Schizosaccharomyces pombe: one gene and its partner. Changing the gene in region 1 together with any one later gene gives a genetic interaction. Each region holds a gene or a part of one and is shown in the gene's direction. Other genes may lie near its edges.

Evidence for each region.
Region 2: of gon7 (region 1) and mis17, a mutation in one rescues a mutant of the other (synthetic rescue), as found in Schizosaccharomyces pombe (one study listed by BioGRID).

Annotation. Positions count from the first base shown.
Region 1 is NC_003424.3:2,409,318-2,417,410, forward strand, and holds gon7 (EKC/KEOPS complex subunit Gon7), read left to right. Parts: upstream 1-6,897; 5' UTR 6,898-7,067; coding exon 7,068-7,289; 3' UTR 7,290-7,455; downstream 7,456-8,093. Other genes in the region: mus7 (DNA repair protein Mus7/Mms22), read right to left, coding at 1-4,653; HbrB family protein involved in TOR signaling Bit2, read right to left, coding at 4,912-5,820; SPOM_SPAC6B12.04C (aminotransferase class I and II), read right to left, coding at 7,465-8,093.
Region 2 is NC_003423.3:3,208,827-3,218,238, forward strand, and holds mis17 (kinetochore protein Mis17 ), read left to right. Parts: upstream 1-5,379; 5' UTR 5,380-5,444; coding exon 5,445-5,503; intron 5,504-5,543; coding exon 5,544-6,603; intron 6,604-6,652; coding exon 6,653-6,859; 3' UTR 6,860-7,112; downstream 7,113-9,412. Other genes in the region: protein Mis20, read left to right, coding at 1,196-1,957; rRNA processing protein Rrp7, read left to right, coding at 2,527-2,875, 2,924-3,291; transcription factor TFIIK complex ubiquitin-protein ligase E3 subunit, Pmh1, read right to left, coding at 3,505-3,646, 3,702-4,170, 4,216-4,289, 4,340-4,479, 4,541-4,644, 4,697-4,724; rtc5 (V-type ATPase inhibitor and disassembly protein linked to MTOR), read left to right, coding at 7,443-7,563, 7,616-7,676, 7,734-9,087; SPOM_SPBC21.03C (EVE domain (PUA-related) protein, implicated in tRNA metabolism (possible RNA binding domain associated with tRNA methyltransferases)), read right to left, coding at 9,159-9,412. UniProt on the Schizosaccharomyces pombe protein: Component of the kinetochore, a multiprotein complex that assembles on centromeric DNA and attaches chromosomes to spindle microtubules, mediating chromosome segregation and sister chromatid segregation during meiosis and mitosis.

The DNA of each region.
Region 1 (8,093 bases):
GAGGGCAGGAAGGTTACGATCATTTGCAAATTGACTACAATACTGTAAAATGTCTCCGACAACACGTTGTGAATTAATAACAAACAAAGAGTGAGTATCAGAAGAATGACCATTTGTCTCATAACTATGCTGCATAGAAGACAGTAGAGAGGATAGGTAATGAATAAACAAGCTCTGTAAATATTGAGAGCTCGCGAAACCATTTGTCTTGGCATCAGCATACAGTTTTGCCATGTTGCAAAACACAGCTGTTAATAAATTCAAGTGAACCGACTTAAAGTAATTTATACTAATTTCCTCAATTTTGACGGATATCGGTAAATTAAGCAAAATAGGATTTTTTAGGTTTTTCTGTAATAACAAAATCGTAAATTGTGCAGCATGATCCTCATCTAAAGCGCCCAGTGATTCAAACCATACAGTTAAGACTTTTTCCTCATGTTTTTTAATAAAAGAATCATTATAAGATATAAGGAAGGAATAAAACGTGGTACTGAGAGATCTTTTCAAAGGAGTGTTACGAATCCTTTCCCAAGACTCAGACCCAAAATCGATATAGTAACTCCAGTCATTGATTTTCGCTTCTACAGCAAAACTAGCACAAATTGCCATGCACTCCATTAATGGTAAAAGTAAAATACGAATATAATTTTCTTTGTCCTCGTCATTTCCAACGAGATAAGATATCGTTTGATACAAAAAGGGTGAAACAAATGTTCTCAATATTTGAGCCACTTCGTATTTACGTTCAAACTTTTCTTGTTCTAAAATGAGTGTGTTATCATCCAGCACATCAGAATCAAAGTAAGCATCTTGACTATCATGCGAAGTGCTACCAACAACGGTAACCTTAGGTGGCTCTGTATTAGATTGATACTGCAAAAACTTTTTTAGAAATAAAATACACTCCAGAGTAACGCGAGGAGGAAAAAAATGAGAGTCTTTAAGAATGCGCCGGCATGACTGCTCCGTCACCAAAACGTTTATCCTACTAATATAAACTGAAGAATTGGGAATTAAATCTTGAAGGGAATGGAAAGCTACAATTAGCGCATTTTCAAGTTGATGTTTCGAGTATTCAGCCAATTGCATCTCACCAACAGAAGTTCCATTTGAAAAGAGAGCAAGATATTCATCAAATGTAACTTTTAAAATGGAATTAAACCACTCCATTCCCTGAGCGAGTTCATAATCAGTTCCCTCTTTTATCACATACTTCATTAGGTGAAGCCATGCTTTTAGACTAATTAAACGTGCCTTAAGATGAGAATTATCGACGATTACAATATCCCTAATGCGATTTAAACTGGGCCTACAATTCTCGGGTGCTGCCCAATAAAGACAAATAAGAAGAGTGTGAGTATGTTCCAAAGACATAAAGTCCTTAATTGAGAATGGACTTTCTCGCGTGTATTGACGTGAATGTAAGGGCTGTAATCTGGATACTATCCTCTTGATTGAATTTGTATTTTCATCTACTTGCCTCAAACGGCTTATAGAAATTAAAATAACTTTTAAATAAATTACAAAACATGTATCAAGAGCAGTTACATGAAGATTTGGAGGTCTGTCAAGTGACTTAACAAAATCAGGAAAGTCAGTTGGTGTATCTTCAGATATTTCAGAAGAAAGGTCATTAAACTTTCTATGGCTAAAGAAATCGAATATCAAAAATAGGATTTGAGCCACATCCTCCCAACGCCATTCAGATATGAGAAAATGAATTCGAAGAAACACTGTGCGAAGGTATCGCTCAACCACTTTAACATTGTGTCCGTCCTTATGCATTTTAAATGCACTTTCTGAAACTCTGATTATCAGTGGCCAAAAACTATTGTTTCCTGGTGAATGAGTCGTTCCATTAAGCCCAATTTGGAAAACGGGATTGAGCGTCATTATAACATACCAAATTTTTTCCATTTCTAATATAGACAACTCCTTTTTTTGAAGATCAAAAAATGAATTCACCTGTTCCCACAAAGCATATTTCTTCTTATATACATGAAAAAGAATATGATTTAAAATTGACCAAGATTCCAAAAAAAGAGTGTCAATTACAGTCGTATCTGAAGCTTGAATTCTCAAATTCCGATAACATTCCAATAGACCAGATTGACCAGCAGAAAGAAGTTTTGAAATCAAATCACTTGCCAGCCAGGAAACTTTATTAATGTTTTGCTGATTTCCAAGTTCAAATTCACAATAAAATACAACTTGAAAAGTTTGAAACAACACAGCTATTTTTTCAACCAATTGTGATCTATTCAACCCCGATATAGAAGAAACACGATCATTGACTAATGCATAGGTTTCTAAAAAGGAGGAAGCCAAGTTAACCAAGCCCATTGATACTTGAGAATGAAGAATAAACGCAGAGCAAAAAGAAAGTAGATTGTACAAGTCAACAGTTTCAGAGTTTGTAAAGTATGGAAGATTTTCTAAGACTGTCTCAAAAGTGTCTTTTAATTTTTCGAATGTTTTAAAAACATCATCCTGGATATTGAATAAACAAGAAAAAGCATAAACAGACTTAAAAGGATGTGTGACGATGTCCAATTGAAGAATAGAATTTAACCCTTGGGTTTTTATAAAGGAGTTGTTGGGCAAACTAAGTCCCGGTCTAAAAGTTATGACATTAAATGTAGTAGACCAAATACCTATATTCCAAAAAGGATTTACATCTGTAAAATAATTAGGGTTTGAAGAGGATTGAAAAAAGACGGTGTCAAAATCGTCTCGTATAAATCGTTGAGCCTTCTGCTTTCTTGAAGACTTGCGGATCTCAGTATTTACTTGGGGTACAGCTAAAGTCCCCTCATAACAATCATGTTCTCTTTCCTTTGAGTTTAATTCAATATTGTCCCTAATGTAATGGTCTAATTTGGCAACTTTTTGGCATTTGTCATGTACTGTATGAGTCCTTTTTAACTTTTTGGATTTTTTGTATGAAACGTTATTAGAAAAAAGAGAAGAAAATAGCTTTCTTTTTTTTAAGAGTTCCTCGCTAAAATTTTGAAGATGACTCAAACCGTTATTTGCTGCTGTTTTAGCGTTAATATTTACACTATGCTTTTTAGAATTAACAGAAAAAATATTTCCACCAACTGACTTAGAATCTGAAGGCTTTTTGTAAGAATGAGATTGTTGAACAAGCTCATGTTTACCTGAATACCAATCAGAAAGAACTTGATCAATAACTTGGCGATCGGATTCTTTGTCGAAGGAAAAATACTTTTTGGAATCCATTTGTCTTTTTCTTCTAATCATTTTTGGAATATGAGATGAACTTCGAGCAAACACCCTCAAAAACTTTGGCGCCTTTTTCCCATACGATTCAAGGATAAGGTCTGGTAATTTTTCCACTTCGACATATTTAAATCTATTTTTTTTCATTTTGGTTTTAGTTGTGCGATAGACAGGAATAGTAGAAACAGCATTGGCTGCTACATTTAGCTGAAAGGGGTTTTCCGACGTCAAAGAACTTGATTTTTTAAGAGCGGATAAACTTCTTTTAGGAAGCCATAATTGATCAACCACATCTTCTTTCAACCAGCCATTATCACGAGAAATTGAATCTAAAAACTCGCTGGTGTCAAACCGTGAATCATCAGTTGGTGTTGGCGTAGAAATGCTATTGTCAGAATCCGATATTTCGTTTCCTAATTCACTAGATAGTTTAGCTGTCGATCTAGGATGCAACTTCCGTCGAGCCACACCTTTTATTTTTTCTCCCTCAATAACACTCTTGTGTAATGATGTCTTTTTTTTGACACCTCTATTTTCCAATTTTTTTTTTTCTTGAAGAGTTAGAAATGATGGTGGTAAAACTCCTCGTAATCTTTTCTTTAAAGTTTTCAAATTCAGATCACTCACAGTAGAATTCGATGAGATATTTGTCATAGACTGATCCGAATCGGAAAGTAAAGACTCAGATTCTAAAGCCTCTTTGCTAGTTGAGGTTTTCTTTCCTTCAATAGTAGACGACAATGCGAGGTCATTGTCAGCTGTATTCAGATTAGATTCCTTTGAATGATCTTGCTCAGTATTAGACTCATCATCATCGCTATCAGATATTACAGCTCCATACCTTCTAAAGCGATGAGTAGAGGTCAAGGGTGGTTTACGTGAAGAAGCACGATTACGAACTATAACATTTACAGGTTTATGAGAGGACTTAGAAGTAATAGATCGATCAGAAGAAAAACCATGCGGTACGGTGATGGGTACCAAGCCTATTCTTTTAAACTCTATTTGATGCCTTAAGAAATCGTAAGTATAAGGCCGGGTTTGCTCAGGACGTCTAGGGCGAAAATCTCTTTTAACAACAACCGCTTCGTGTTCGGCATCTTTTTTAAAAACCTCAGTTCGTTTGTTTTCTTCTTCCCTCTTTGTTTCAGCTAAATTTTGATCACTTTTTTCAAAAGAAACATTCCTATTCAATTCGGGCAATGAAGACACCGATGACTTTGTAGAACCGATGGTGGTTTCATTGTTCAGAATTTCTAGCTTATTTTGATTTTTTTCTTTAGTAGCCGGCGTAATTCCATCGTATTCATTTCCACGTTGTGAAATTAAAGACCCATGAGTATTTGACCATTCACTTCCAGAATCCTGAGAGTCAGACACATGGTCAAGTAAAAGGAAACTATTCATCCTACAAACCCATGGGAAAGATGGTATTACATAAGAGGGCTTAGAAGAGTTCTTTCGATTTTAAAAAGTGTCTATATGGAGGTCCTGTTGCATACTCCAGTTAGCAAAATAGAAACACCATTGAGTAACAAGGAATAGGTAACATTATTAAATACCTAACAAAAGCCGCAAATATTAAAAGATAAATTGCTTAAATGGGCTTTAAAAACAAATATTGAAAGTATAAAAAGTCTATCTTCTATTAAAACATATTAAATTTCAGACATATAAAAATTTTAAAGTCAGTTCGTTTAGCCAGTTCATTAGAAGATCTTCGGATTCATCTTGTGGCTTTATGAGAGAAATAATGGAAATCATCTGGACGAGTAAAATCTGCTGCTGAGTATTCAATTGAGGAATTTCAATGAATCGATTTGTCTTTTTCAGCTTTGGCATTACAACAAATTTACGAAACACCCAAATAGAAAACAGTTTCAAATCTATATTAGCACTCTTTTTTAACCAGTACGTTTTCATGGGCTCTTCAAATAATTGAGCAATCTCAAATTTTGCAAAAGTAACAGGCAAAAACGTAGCTTCGATATACGGCAATATTTCTAAATAAAAAATCGACCACACCTCAACAAGATAGTGTAGAAAGGAAGACTCATTGCTATTCATACCCAGCAATGAAATGTCAATTATCAGTCCAATTCGCATATTTCCCAAAAGCTCTTCAAAATCGCTTATTGCTTCGCAAGCGCATATACACCGCAGCACTAAAAAATTTAAATCTTCGATAATAACCTTTTTTTTCCAATTCTTCTTATCCTGTTCGGTGTAACGATGTTGCGGAAATATTGGTCTCATAGCAATGTTTAATTGTTTCCACGCTACCAACACAGTTAGCGGTCTTAGTTTATCAATTGCAGTTAATCGATGCGACATTTTATATCGCTTGAGAATAGAGAGTTTTCCCTTGTCAATAGATGGATGAGAGACTAGAGATCCATTAGAAACGATTGAAGCATCAGATATCGTCTTCCTTCTTTTTTTTTTAGACTTTACCGAATCTAAGTTAGATGTAGTGGTTCGATTTTCATCATTGTGAAACAAAAAAAAACAAGGGCATTGAACTTTGATAGTCGTTAACCCTAAATAAATTTTCCATTTATCCCTCAATTTCATTTCTAGCTTTTTTAAATATTAGACAATGGTAGATTTTAAAAGTTGAAATTCGTTGTTTGCATTTCTGTATCGCAGGCGTAAGTTACGTCAATAGATTCAATTACTCTATAAAAAATAAGCTTAATTTAACGAACTTGACAAAGGCTATATTTAATAACATGCGTCACGCACACTAAATAAATAATACAAAATATGAAACAGTATCACGTTAATTTTCGGATTTCTATTTTTCCAAGGTCCATTGTCGATGACTAAGTTTCTTTATTTCATGAACTTTTTTTTAAAGCCAATTTGAGCATATGCTACACCAAAAAAATGTGTATGGTCGATTTCCATGGCTCAAAGTTGTGAATATATTCATCGCTTTTGTAATACCTGCAATTCTACTATATGTTATGCTACATTATGCTTGTCTATCGCTAAATATCATATGTTAGAATATTAGCTAAGGTGTTTTTATTGGTAATTGAGAATAACTATTCTGTATACAAAAATACCCGCTGGTAACATCTATTAGATAATTACGAATAGAAGCTATAACTGAACTGAGGAACGAGGTTCAGCTGTAGGCAATATTAGTGATGGCTAAAAATGTAATCATATAGAATACTAATAACAAGTTGCTACTTACATTACCAGTATAGTGCAATATAATAGATAACAAGGAGATTTCGACGTAATCCAACGTATCGTTACAACAGATAACAAACTGCGTAGCTGATATAGGAATCCTAATAATATTTTATTCTTGGTATATTTAATAAATAATGTTGAGATGCTAAATCAACAATTCAATGAAGCCATCAATTGTCACAAAGCGTTTAATGCATTTTTAATTATTCATATTTGGTGCTCAATAAGTTTACTAAGCCTTGATGATTTAACAAAAGATTATTGCATACCTGTGCTATCAAAGCCCAATAGTATTTGCTAGTAGACTAGGAGACTTTGGTATAAGATAGTAGTGCTTTAAGAAGTACCTCTAACTAGCAACGCAAAGCCGATAATAACGTGAGTAAATTTTAAAGAACGTTGTTTAAAGTACTATATATTGACAACATATCATATCTATCCTTTACAAAAACTGTGCGGATAAAAAACGATAGTTTATTCCATCCGAAGCTTTTGCATAATATCTATCTTTTTTTTCAATTAATATTGTTGCGGAAATCCTGTTTTTCTGTTTTAATTAATTTCTTCTCTTTTTTTTCTTTTTTTTTTTTTATATACAAATAAAAGTTAAAGCAATGAACAATCTTGAACTAACGTATAAATGCGAAACAGATACTACACGTCCATTTTTAAAAAGTCTTCCCGTTGGGTTTGAACCAGTTGAAGTTGATGATTATTATATTTCCTTAAAAGAACAAGTCCGAGCAATGCAAGATCATTGCAATGAAGAGTTTACTAAGAAAATGCAAACTGAAGGAAAGAATGATGTCCCAGAGGAAAAACCCATAATTTTATAAGCGATTAATTAATAAGGACAGATCGTGTCGAACTGCATAACCATTAAAAAAACAGAAAAATAAAGCTAGACATCACTTATAAATTGCCTTTTACTATAATACGTTTTTGATGGTTTTCATTGTAACGCAAATAAGTATAAATTTTAGATATACATGTAATCTATAGCAATACTATCTAAAAATAGTCTTTCAACTTCTGTAATCTTCTAGCTGCTTCTTCTAAAGTTTCAAAAGTTTTGCAAAATGCAAAGCGAAGGTAATTCTCTGCAACTGGTGCATCTTCATCCGTATAGAATTCGGTAGGGGGGATCGTAGCAACACCAATTTCCTTCAAAATCCAATAACAAAGCTTGAAATCCCTAGGTCGATTGGCTATTTCCTCTGGAAATGGATAGTCCTTAGGTAATTTGAGTTTGGAGAAGTTCGCCATCGTATAATAACTGCCATCTGGTATAGTGTAGGGAATCTCTAATTGATCAAACGCCTTGGCTAGAATCTCAAAACGCTTTTTGTACGAAGATTTATACTCTTCATAGTAATTATGTTTCTCTGCTTCGCCAAAGGCTATGGCCAAGGCCTCTTGACAAGGGCTATTGACAGCAAAACAAATACGAGTATGAGCTGCGGCAGAATATTTGATTAGGCTTTCATCACCAATAAGCCAACCAACACGCCATCCCGTACATCCAAACGTTTTTCCGCCAGATCCAACTGTTACAACATGTTTGAAAAGTTCAGGACGAAGAGTAGCAAGCCTGACGAACGGAACAAAGGAAAGACGGTCATAGACTTCATCAGACACGA
Region 2 (9,412 bases), on another chromosome or scaffold:
GAAACCAGTATGACCTATGGTAGGCCATTTATAAAACCTTATTAGGAAATGTAGCTGGGGGTAGTAAAGAGATTTGATGAGAGTCACTGTATTTCGTTAAACATTGTTTAGAAAGGATTTGGAATAATAAAGGTTTGCTACAATACACTAAATTGTAATAGTGTGATGTAAAGACAGCAAAAATGATAAACTATTAAGGATCAATATATGAAGTTGTTTTAAAGTTGAATTCAAAAAAATATTTATCAATTTCGGTTTTCTCCTTTTTTTACATTGACATTTTGCAGATATCCAAAAGAATAAAAATAGTATTGAAAGGTGTGGGACTCGAACCCACGAGCTTTCGCACTAGTGCCTTAAACTAGCTCCATAACCACTCGGACAACCTTCCTAGTTGTACGGTTCTATCCATAGACGAATATATACAGTAAAAATAAAAAATATTTGAGCTGTTATTCATACGAATGAATTATTATTATGAATTAATACCTCATATATACATTTGATATTGAACATTGTAATTAGTTTCAAAGGCATATGACTTTTTGGGTCACTGCCGGAACAATATCAGTCGTAAGGAAATGCATTGCTTGCCCGCACACGAGCATTAATGAATGTTTCCGCTAATTTGCAAGATATTCGCTCTGAACTTACAGAATGAATAAGTATGGTTTAGAATTAGAAATCACATTGGTTTCGCAGCTTGAGAGAAATGTTTGTTTTACATTGTAAATAGTAAGCTTATTTGTCGCGCGTTTATTGGTATTGCTATTTCTATATATAGAAAAAAAAAACATTTTCCTAATACTTCATCTCATCTAGCTCTAATATATCGAAAATTCCTAGAAACCCTTTTTTTGCGATCAAAACATTCAATTAAGCTACATAAGTTGTATTCTACAAAATGTCAGCGGTTCGCTGTATCAAATAAATAGTATATATAAACTCTATACCTCTTTTGTCTTTATCATCCCTTTAATCAATTCCTAGGTTTTTCATTGAAGACATTTTTTGCAAGCACCTACAGTATATATATCGTTGATTTTATTTACCTTCTTCACTAACCAATTTTCTTGAGCCTTAACACCTAAATGAAGCAATTATTGAAAAGTTGGATTTATCCAAATCTCAAAACTTTGTTAAACTTCATTTTAACCTAAAGTCATATCTTTAAAAAGATAAATCGCATGGCAAAATGTTGGAACAAAGTGAATCGCACGCGTTCATAAATAATGCACCAAAAGAAGATCGAATCCAAGTGAAATTTGAACAATTATTTGAATCTCTTCCTTTGCCATTGCGAGCTGAAGAAGCATTGAGTAAACTAAGACATGATTCTGCAAGATTGATGATATTAAAAACTTCAGATCCTACGTTAAATATGTCGACTTATAGTATAGAGGATTCTCCGATGGGCTTTGAATGCTTAAAATATAATTTAAGTGACAATAATAAATTACTTTCACAAAATAATTACCGATTACCAGACTATTTAGAAGAGGATGAAATAGTCAGCTATACTTTTTCAAAAACCGGTCCCACTACTTCAAAAAACAAGCATCCATCACATTCTAATACAATTAGATCACCTCCTTACAAAGTGAAAAAAGAATCATGTCATACAGAAATCAACAACGTGTCTAATGTTTCTACGGAAAGTATCAACGTTATTGATGCATCGAGGGGTTACTCGCCTTACACATCAGTGGATTCTCTTTCTGTGAGTAAAAACCGTTCTTTCATATCTCTTGAAGAATCAGCAAGTAACCAATATGATGCTGCAGAAGCTTTTTATTTTAATGCAGACTCATCCTCACCGTTGAGAAAACTTAGCCCTATAGAGCTTCCTGTGACTCCAATAAGACGCAAAACCCCTACAATTAACCCAAACTCAGAACTTAAAAGACTTCAAACTTTTGGAAAACTGATTTTGCATAAGGGAAGTCGTAGAAGGTAGTGAGTCCAATCGAACAAGAAGTATACAATAACGTTTCTTTGTTATTACGAAAAATTTTGAATGACCATTTTATAATGCAAAAAGTTACCTTAAGCGTGTGCAGTAATTTATTCAAATATCAATAATCCTTTTAAATGACTATACCGAGCACTATACTTTGTATGAGTAGGCTATAAGGATCTTTTTTAAAAACGTTTATCTTGGTTAGGAACACTAAATGCAATTAGCAACCACGCATATCAATATAGCTGTATTTTTTTATTAATTTACAATCCAACACCTCTAGCTCCCAATTCAATTATTACATTGCTTTTTGGAGCTTTTATTTAGCAGCAAATAAATTACAAGTTGTATAATTACATTTTTTTTTTAATCCTAGAAAATAAGCAAATCTTAGTTTAATTTTCGCTTATTCTAACATTCTTAATGTATATTGTATATAATAATAATTATAGTCACAACGAGATGAAGTATGCGAAGGTATAAGAGTATACAGCTCCTATGGTCTTGCCCTCGGTCAAGCTCAGTAACAAATTGCATTTTACCCAAGAACCAAACAACTCATATAAATGGACAAGCTCAAAGAAAAAGGGTTTGTTAAACTAGAAATTTATTTGGAAAATAAAAAGAGGTTGCATAGTATATTTTTGAAAGAAGACACGGAAGATGTTGAAAAGAAGTCACTGTATTTGATTAATGTTCCTATCACAACTACTGAAAAGATTTTGAAAAGAGCAATTTCTCAATTGGGCGGTCGTATCGTTAATATCTATCCTAATATTAGTGGCCTTTTGAAAAGTGGCACCCATTTACGCGTCAAATTAGTCGAGCCCGCTGAAGTTAAACAAGTTATCAAGGCAGCTTCTAAAAAGACGACCTCGCTTCCTTGGAAGTTCACACAGCATACTGGTTTGAAACGTAAGAACATGGTCATTATTTTTTTGGAAATACTAATGTGTTTAATAGGTTATGTAGAAAGTTATGATAGACAGTTTGTCAATCCACGTGTTCTAGCCGAAAGTGTTGATTCATACATGAAACGTGTTACTAAAAAGGAAATAGCAGAAAAGAGGAGACTATTCGCTATGAAAAATCAACCTGATGAAGATGGATTCGTAACGGTCGTTCGCAGCGGCCGGGCACCTGTCGGGCGACCTCAGGATGCTGAGCGTCAATTGGAAAAGAAAAAAGACACTGGGATCCACAAAGATTTTTACCGTTTCCAGCTTCGGGAAAAGAAAAAGAAGGCTCTTTTGGATTTAGCTCATAAGTTTGAGTTCGATAAACAGCGTATCCAACAATTAAAAGAAAAGCGGCAATTCAAACCGTATTAATATTATAGGTTTTAATCTTTTTGGGAGCATCACAAGGATTTGTTTTAGTTTGTATATTTTAGGGATAATGGTAATATACAAAGGCTATGATTTACTAATACAAAGAATAAAGTATACTTACCACAAACGTATATAAATATATTAGTATGAAAATGGAATAGTCGTTTACTTAAAAATGAAATGTAACTGCATGGTGAGAGCATTAAAGCAAGACTAACTTGCTACTTCAAGTTTTTTGAGACTTTCTAAATCGTAATCAATGCCACTAAAAGCCTCATATAAGCATCGCAAATGACAATCTTCTATACGGAAACCGCATTTGCGGCCTGGTTCATGCGAAACTTTTTCCAAATATCTAATCGAGTTGTTAGTATGATATTTATGGGTGATGCTACAAAATTGACACTTACAAATCTTGATAGGTGTTTTTGGAGTATGAAAAATACTTGCTCCCATCTTTTTCTCCAGCAAGAGGACTAAAAGGCGTAGTATCCTCTGCTACTTGCTGAACATCAGATAGAAGAATTGAAGATGAACGTGAAATGTTTGAAACCGAAGAGGCAATGTTTTCTTGTTGCTTTTTAAGGGAATCAGATAGTTGGATAATTTTGTTAGGATCTTTTCCTGATGTAGCTAAATCAAAAATAATTTGTTGCTCAACCTGTTCACGTCTTTCCTTTTCTTTTTGATGCTCACGTATAGCCGCTTCTCTTGCTTCTTGCTTTTGGCGTTTGAGAAGAATCTCGTTTTGAGCCAAAATGCGTGCTTCTGCGGCGGCTCTTGCAGAATTTGCTGCTATAGAATCTCGATTTTGTTTTTCATATTGTTTAACTTTTTCCTCAGTTTCTTCAACGTCGATTTTATAAATCAAATTAAATGCTAAAAAAAATTGTTAATAAAATTCTGACGCTGTCAATAACATACTTAAAATTTCAACTTCTTCCAAGTAGTCATTGTAAGCCTGCAAGCTGTCAAATTCTTGCTGTCCTTTGTTAAAGCTAAAAACGCACGTTAGAGTAAATTAAAAAAAAAGCTACAGTGTTCGTACATTCGAGATATCCGCTTCCGAACATCGACTTCGCGCTCAATTTGAGCATCTTCAAATGTTTGCTCTCGAAATTTGGCTTTTCTGAGAATTTTGTTGCACCCAGGAGTAGGGCATTGAGCAGGTCCAGTTGTAAATATTCTCTATGAATTAGCAAATCATGCTTCATTTCTTATTTGTATTAACAAATGCAATCAAACATACGTCTACACAAGACTCACACATCTTGTGATAGCACTCAGGGTTTATAAGTAATTTCATATTTGGATTTAAATATCTGTCCGCCTGGCACAACGGACATTTTTCATCTATATGTCTCGGTCAGCTTTAAAATAAATCAGGTAATTAATTAATGCTTACCAACTTTCCTAGCACCTTCATCGTCCATCTTTCTTTTATAGTTTACTTTTATTAATTCGTATTATGCAGTGAACGGGAATGACAAACGATAAATTCAAAGTTTCAATCGAATTTATGTTGAATAGTAAACGTTACTTTTCGGATTGTATAAAGAAATAATATTTGGACAAAAAAAGCGCGCAATACGTGGTGTTAAACTTTTAGAAGTAGTCGCCTTCAATATTACAAACACGACGACCATCAACTCATTCCCTAGCTACCAGCTATCTAAAGTCTTTTGAGTCCAAAAATACGAAAATTTAGATTAATGTAATAATAATTATTGAACCAACATAAATATTAACTAAATTTGGTTCCGTTTGTCGTATAACTTGGTAATTTCTATGTATACGGGCATGCAATCAGAAAACTTAATGGACATTTACTAAATTTGATCAGTTTGTTAAAAAATAAAATTATCTATTTTATTCTCACATAGGAGTTTGGAAAATTTTCAATAGTTACGAACTTGAATTTGAATGTTTTATATATATGTCGAACATTTAACTATTAAACTACATAGGTGTAATTTGTTTGCTTTATGAATACGTAGTTTAAAATATATGGTGTTAAAATTATTATTTGGGCTGTACAAAGAATAGCTAAAATCAATTCATGACTAGAAAGAAAGGCTGGATGAATTCGTCAACTACCAAAACCCCATGTTTGACTATACGCGTAGAAAAGCAAAAATTTTGCATGAAATATTATGGAAAATAACTCCCATAACGTAGATGAGCGACGAGCAGCACGAATGCGTGGAGCTGAGTATGTTATTTCAAAACTTTGTAAAAATTAACCAATGTAGACGCTACAAAATTCAAAATGTTGAGTTTTCATTAGATCAAAACCTTCTGGCCAATTTAGAGTCATCTACTTCTAGTTCAACTCGTTCTTCGCCTGCTTCAAACCAACAAAACCTTGAAATTGTATCTCAATCAGAGGCATATCATAAAATTAGCGATTTGGATGACAGTACATCTATTTTTTCTATTTCCGATCAAGAAAATATACTTGAAAGAAGGATTTCTGAAGAAGTAGTTCGGGAAAATTCCGTTTCCAGCATCGAAAATGTATCTTCATCGGCTGTCGCACGTGAGACGCAGAGTAGCGCAAATATTTTAGTCAAAGACAATCATTTTTTTTCTCATAAGCAGAAAAAAATACAAAGGGAATCCATTCCGTTTCACAAACGTGATAATATAGAAACCTCTGATGCATATAGTTCTTCAATCCTAGAAAATTCACCACCTAACAAAGTACAAAGGCTGTCATCTCTCGACTCATCTCAAGATTCGTTCCAAGAGGAACATCCAGGCAATGTGACAGGAACAACATTTAGTTCTCAGGCCCCTGAAGAGCGAATTGCTTCTCCTATCTCCACTTCTTCTCCGGAATCTTTGACGAATCAAAGTAGTAGTCTGCAAAGTTCCTTACAGACATCATCAATGGCTCCTAGAAATCTTTTGGATCAATCAACAGAAAAGGATATTGTAGTGGGAGCCTCAGATGAGCTCGTGCGTATCGAGTTAACCAAACTTTCTAAAGAAGCAGGAGGGTCAAAGACTCTTAATGAGCTTGATGCCGTACAGCAATTTTTTCAAGAATTTATAAAAGAGAATGAGCCACTAGAACCCTATGTAGTCAAGGTAAAAAATGCGTTTGTGGAACAAGTTTCTATTCGTTTACTAGAGTTAATAGACTTGCTGGACGCTAATCGAATTTTATCAACAGCTTGTAAAAAAGCAGCAAATGAGAAACTAGCTGTTCAACGGGATCTCTCGAAATTGAGGGAAGATCGACTATCAGTGCAACGTAAAAAAATACAGTTACGAAATGAGTACATTAAATTGTCCCATCAACAAAACGTACGCATAACATTGGCTCTTTAATTTACGCTTAACTAACTTAATATAGTTTTTGGATGATATTGACGATTTCTTCTCACAATGCGAAACAGTGAAAAACGAATTAGAAAATGTAACCACAACTCCAAACTCTACCGAAGCTTTTTCAGAAATAAATGAATATGCGTCTGCTTTATCAAAAAATTATGGACTCGAATCGCAGCTAGTTGAATTACAGTCTTTACTAACCCAATTTTATCAAAAATTCCTTTCCTAAAAGTTGCCATATCGCAACTTCTCCGCTGTCTTTCTATCACCTTTTTGTATAATTTTTCATTTCGGTGCGTCTGTTTGGGAAATCGGCTGGATTTCTACTGTTTCTTAAAGTTTTGCTTTTCTTGTGTTCTAAACTACCCTTTATCTTTTGCTAATGTGAAAGCTTTGATTGGGTTTTTGTATATAAAATTTTTTGAAATATGAGTATATGAATATATGAATGTATAATAAATGGCATGTCATTATTACCCCAATTTTCTATTTCGACAGCATTTCCGTTTTAAATTGTATGCTGCATAATTTTCTAGTAGAAATTCGACTTTTTCGTCACTAACTTGAACTGCTTACACTTACAATTGAGCATGTATTTTTTTAACAAGTTAGGAAAATAAAAAAAACAAAAAAATGCAAAGGAATTTGCTTCTAAATGGATATCTTTGTATATCGCGTTTGTTTTCAATTTAGATGAGTATTAAGTGCAATATTAGTTAACTTGTAACTTCGTTTAGCACAACTCTATTTTCATAGAATATGAAGTCATATTCACTACACTCTGAATCACGCCGAAGATACCCAGCCCAAAAATGGGTCAAAAGGAGTCCCAATTTAAAGTTCTTTGGCAGTTACAGACTCATGAAGAATATATGAAACAAACTTCTTCTTTCTTACGAGACTTTAATGCTTTAGAACGGTATAATTTAAAAGGTTTGTCAATTTTCGTAATTTTGTTTAACAAAGCTAATGATTTAATAAAAAGAGAATTTCGAGGCTTTATCAAGCTTTGATAATGGTGAAAAAATTTGGGTTGAGGATGCCTTGTATGTTCGCTTTTAAAGGTATTGTTGAAATTGTTCATTCTAACAAAGGTGCTTTAGCACGACGTTCTTTGGAATTCCAGACGTTATCCAACTTTCACCATTTTTTTATCGCTCCGCTTGTAGTTTTGGAAGGGATCTTAATATCAATAGGCAACGTCTTACATTTTCTGCTCTCGCGAGATTTCTTGCTTCTTACACTGGTCGCCACAAAGATGTTTGGAGTGATTTTGAGAGCAATTTGATGATCATAGCAAGTTGGTGTGACTCTTTTCCAAAATTTAGAGTAGAAGTTTTAAAAAATTCTAAACAAATTTCGCGGTTAATACATAGTGATGTTCAGAACATAAGCAATTTTTTTGATCAAAACTTCGGTATACGGAGGTCAAATATTTATCAGCTATGTTTGCTGTTACTTTGCATTTCTAAACTTAAGCCTGGTGAATCGGTTGGTTGTCATATTAATTCGTTTTTGGACTCTATGTTTGTGAAAGAACAAAAAGCTGCCTTTTATGTGCTACAAGGTATAAGTCCGGATATATCTAGTAATATTATAAAACCGAGTTATTTACTTCATTTTCTTGAGTCAAATCCATATTTCCTTAAATCTCTAGGATCTTTATTTGAGTTGGCACTATTTCCGCATTCAGCTCACAATCAAAAAGTGCAAGATGATGTGTCACCGTTAAACGACTTTGCAATTCTGAGCCCACTTATCCATGCTCAAATCTGTTTTTTTTTACCCAAATCTGTATGGCAGGTCAATGGCTTGACAAGTCTGTTTAGAGCAAGCTTTCATGGTTACTCAATGTACGCACTAGAGAGAAAAATGTGTAATTATCACAATCCTTCGATTCTCTTAATTAAAGCAAAGAAAATCAATGCCAATCACAAATCCTCTTCTAGACCAATATCATTAGATGCTACAATTCCGAGAAAATATCCACCACACTGCATTGGGACTGATAAAGCTGTGCCTCAAAAATTTGGTGCAGATTTTCACAATGAAAATATCTTACTTGGTGCTTATATATCCACTCGTTGGAGACAATCGCATATGGGATTTTTTGGAGACCATTCAACATTATTATTTCAACTTCAGCCTATACATCAAGTTTATTACGCTTCCAATCTTGATAAAAATTACTGTATGTTCGACAAAAATGTTGGCCTGGGTTTTGGCCTCAGCCGTCATAAAGTGACTAACAAAGTGCAATATGATGTACCCGGAGTATGCATGTATATTGATGATGGTCTAGAGTATGGATTATTTAGACATGCTGGTGATGGAGCATTCAAGCCTGCGACAAATTACGAAAACTTTGAATATGAAGAAAGATTTTTAATTCAAGACTTAGAGGTCATAGGAGTTGATACTACAAAACCGGTAGAGCCAATCCACATCGGATTATAATGGACGCATATTGGAAAAACGATCATAAATATTAGTATATATATATAATTTTTTGTCAATAAGAAAAAAACTTATAACGCATTATCCTTTTGGCTTCTAACATCTTTTATTCTGCTCCTTTTAATGATATCCAAAGATGCATCGTTCTCACTAATCGAACTGTACGGACTTTTTGCTTTGTTTTCACCATCAGAAAGATTTAATTTCCTCTTCCTTTTTGCAACCTTTTCTTCTTCCTGAAGACGAGCTTTGATTATTTCTTCGGGCTCTGGTTGTTTCGACAGTTCATGAATAAATTTCCACTCTTCAGGTTTTACTCGTGAGA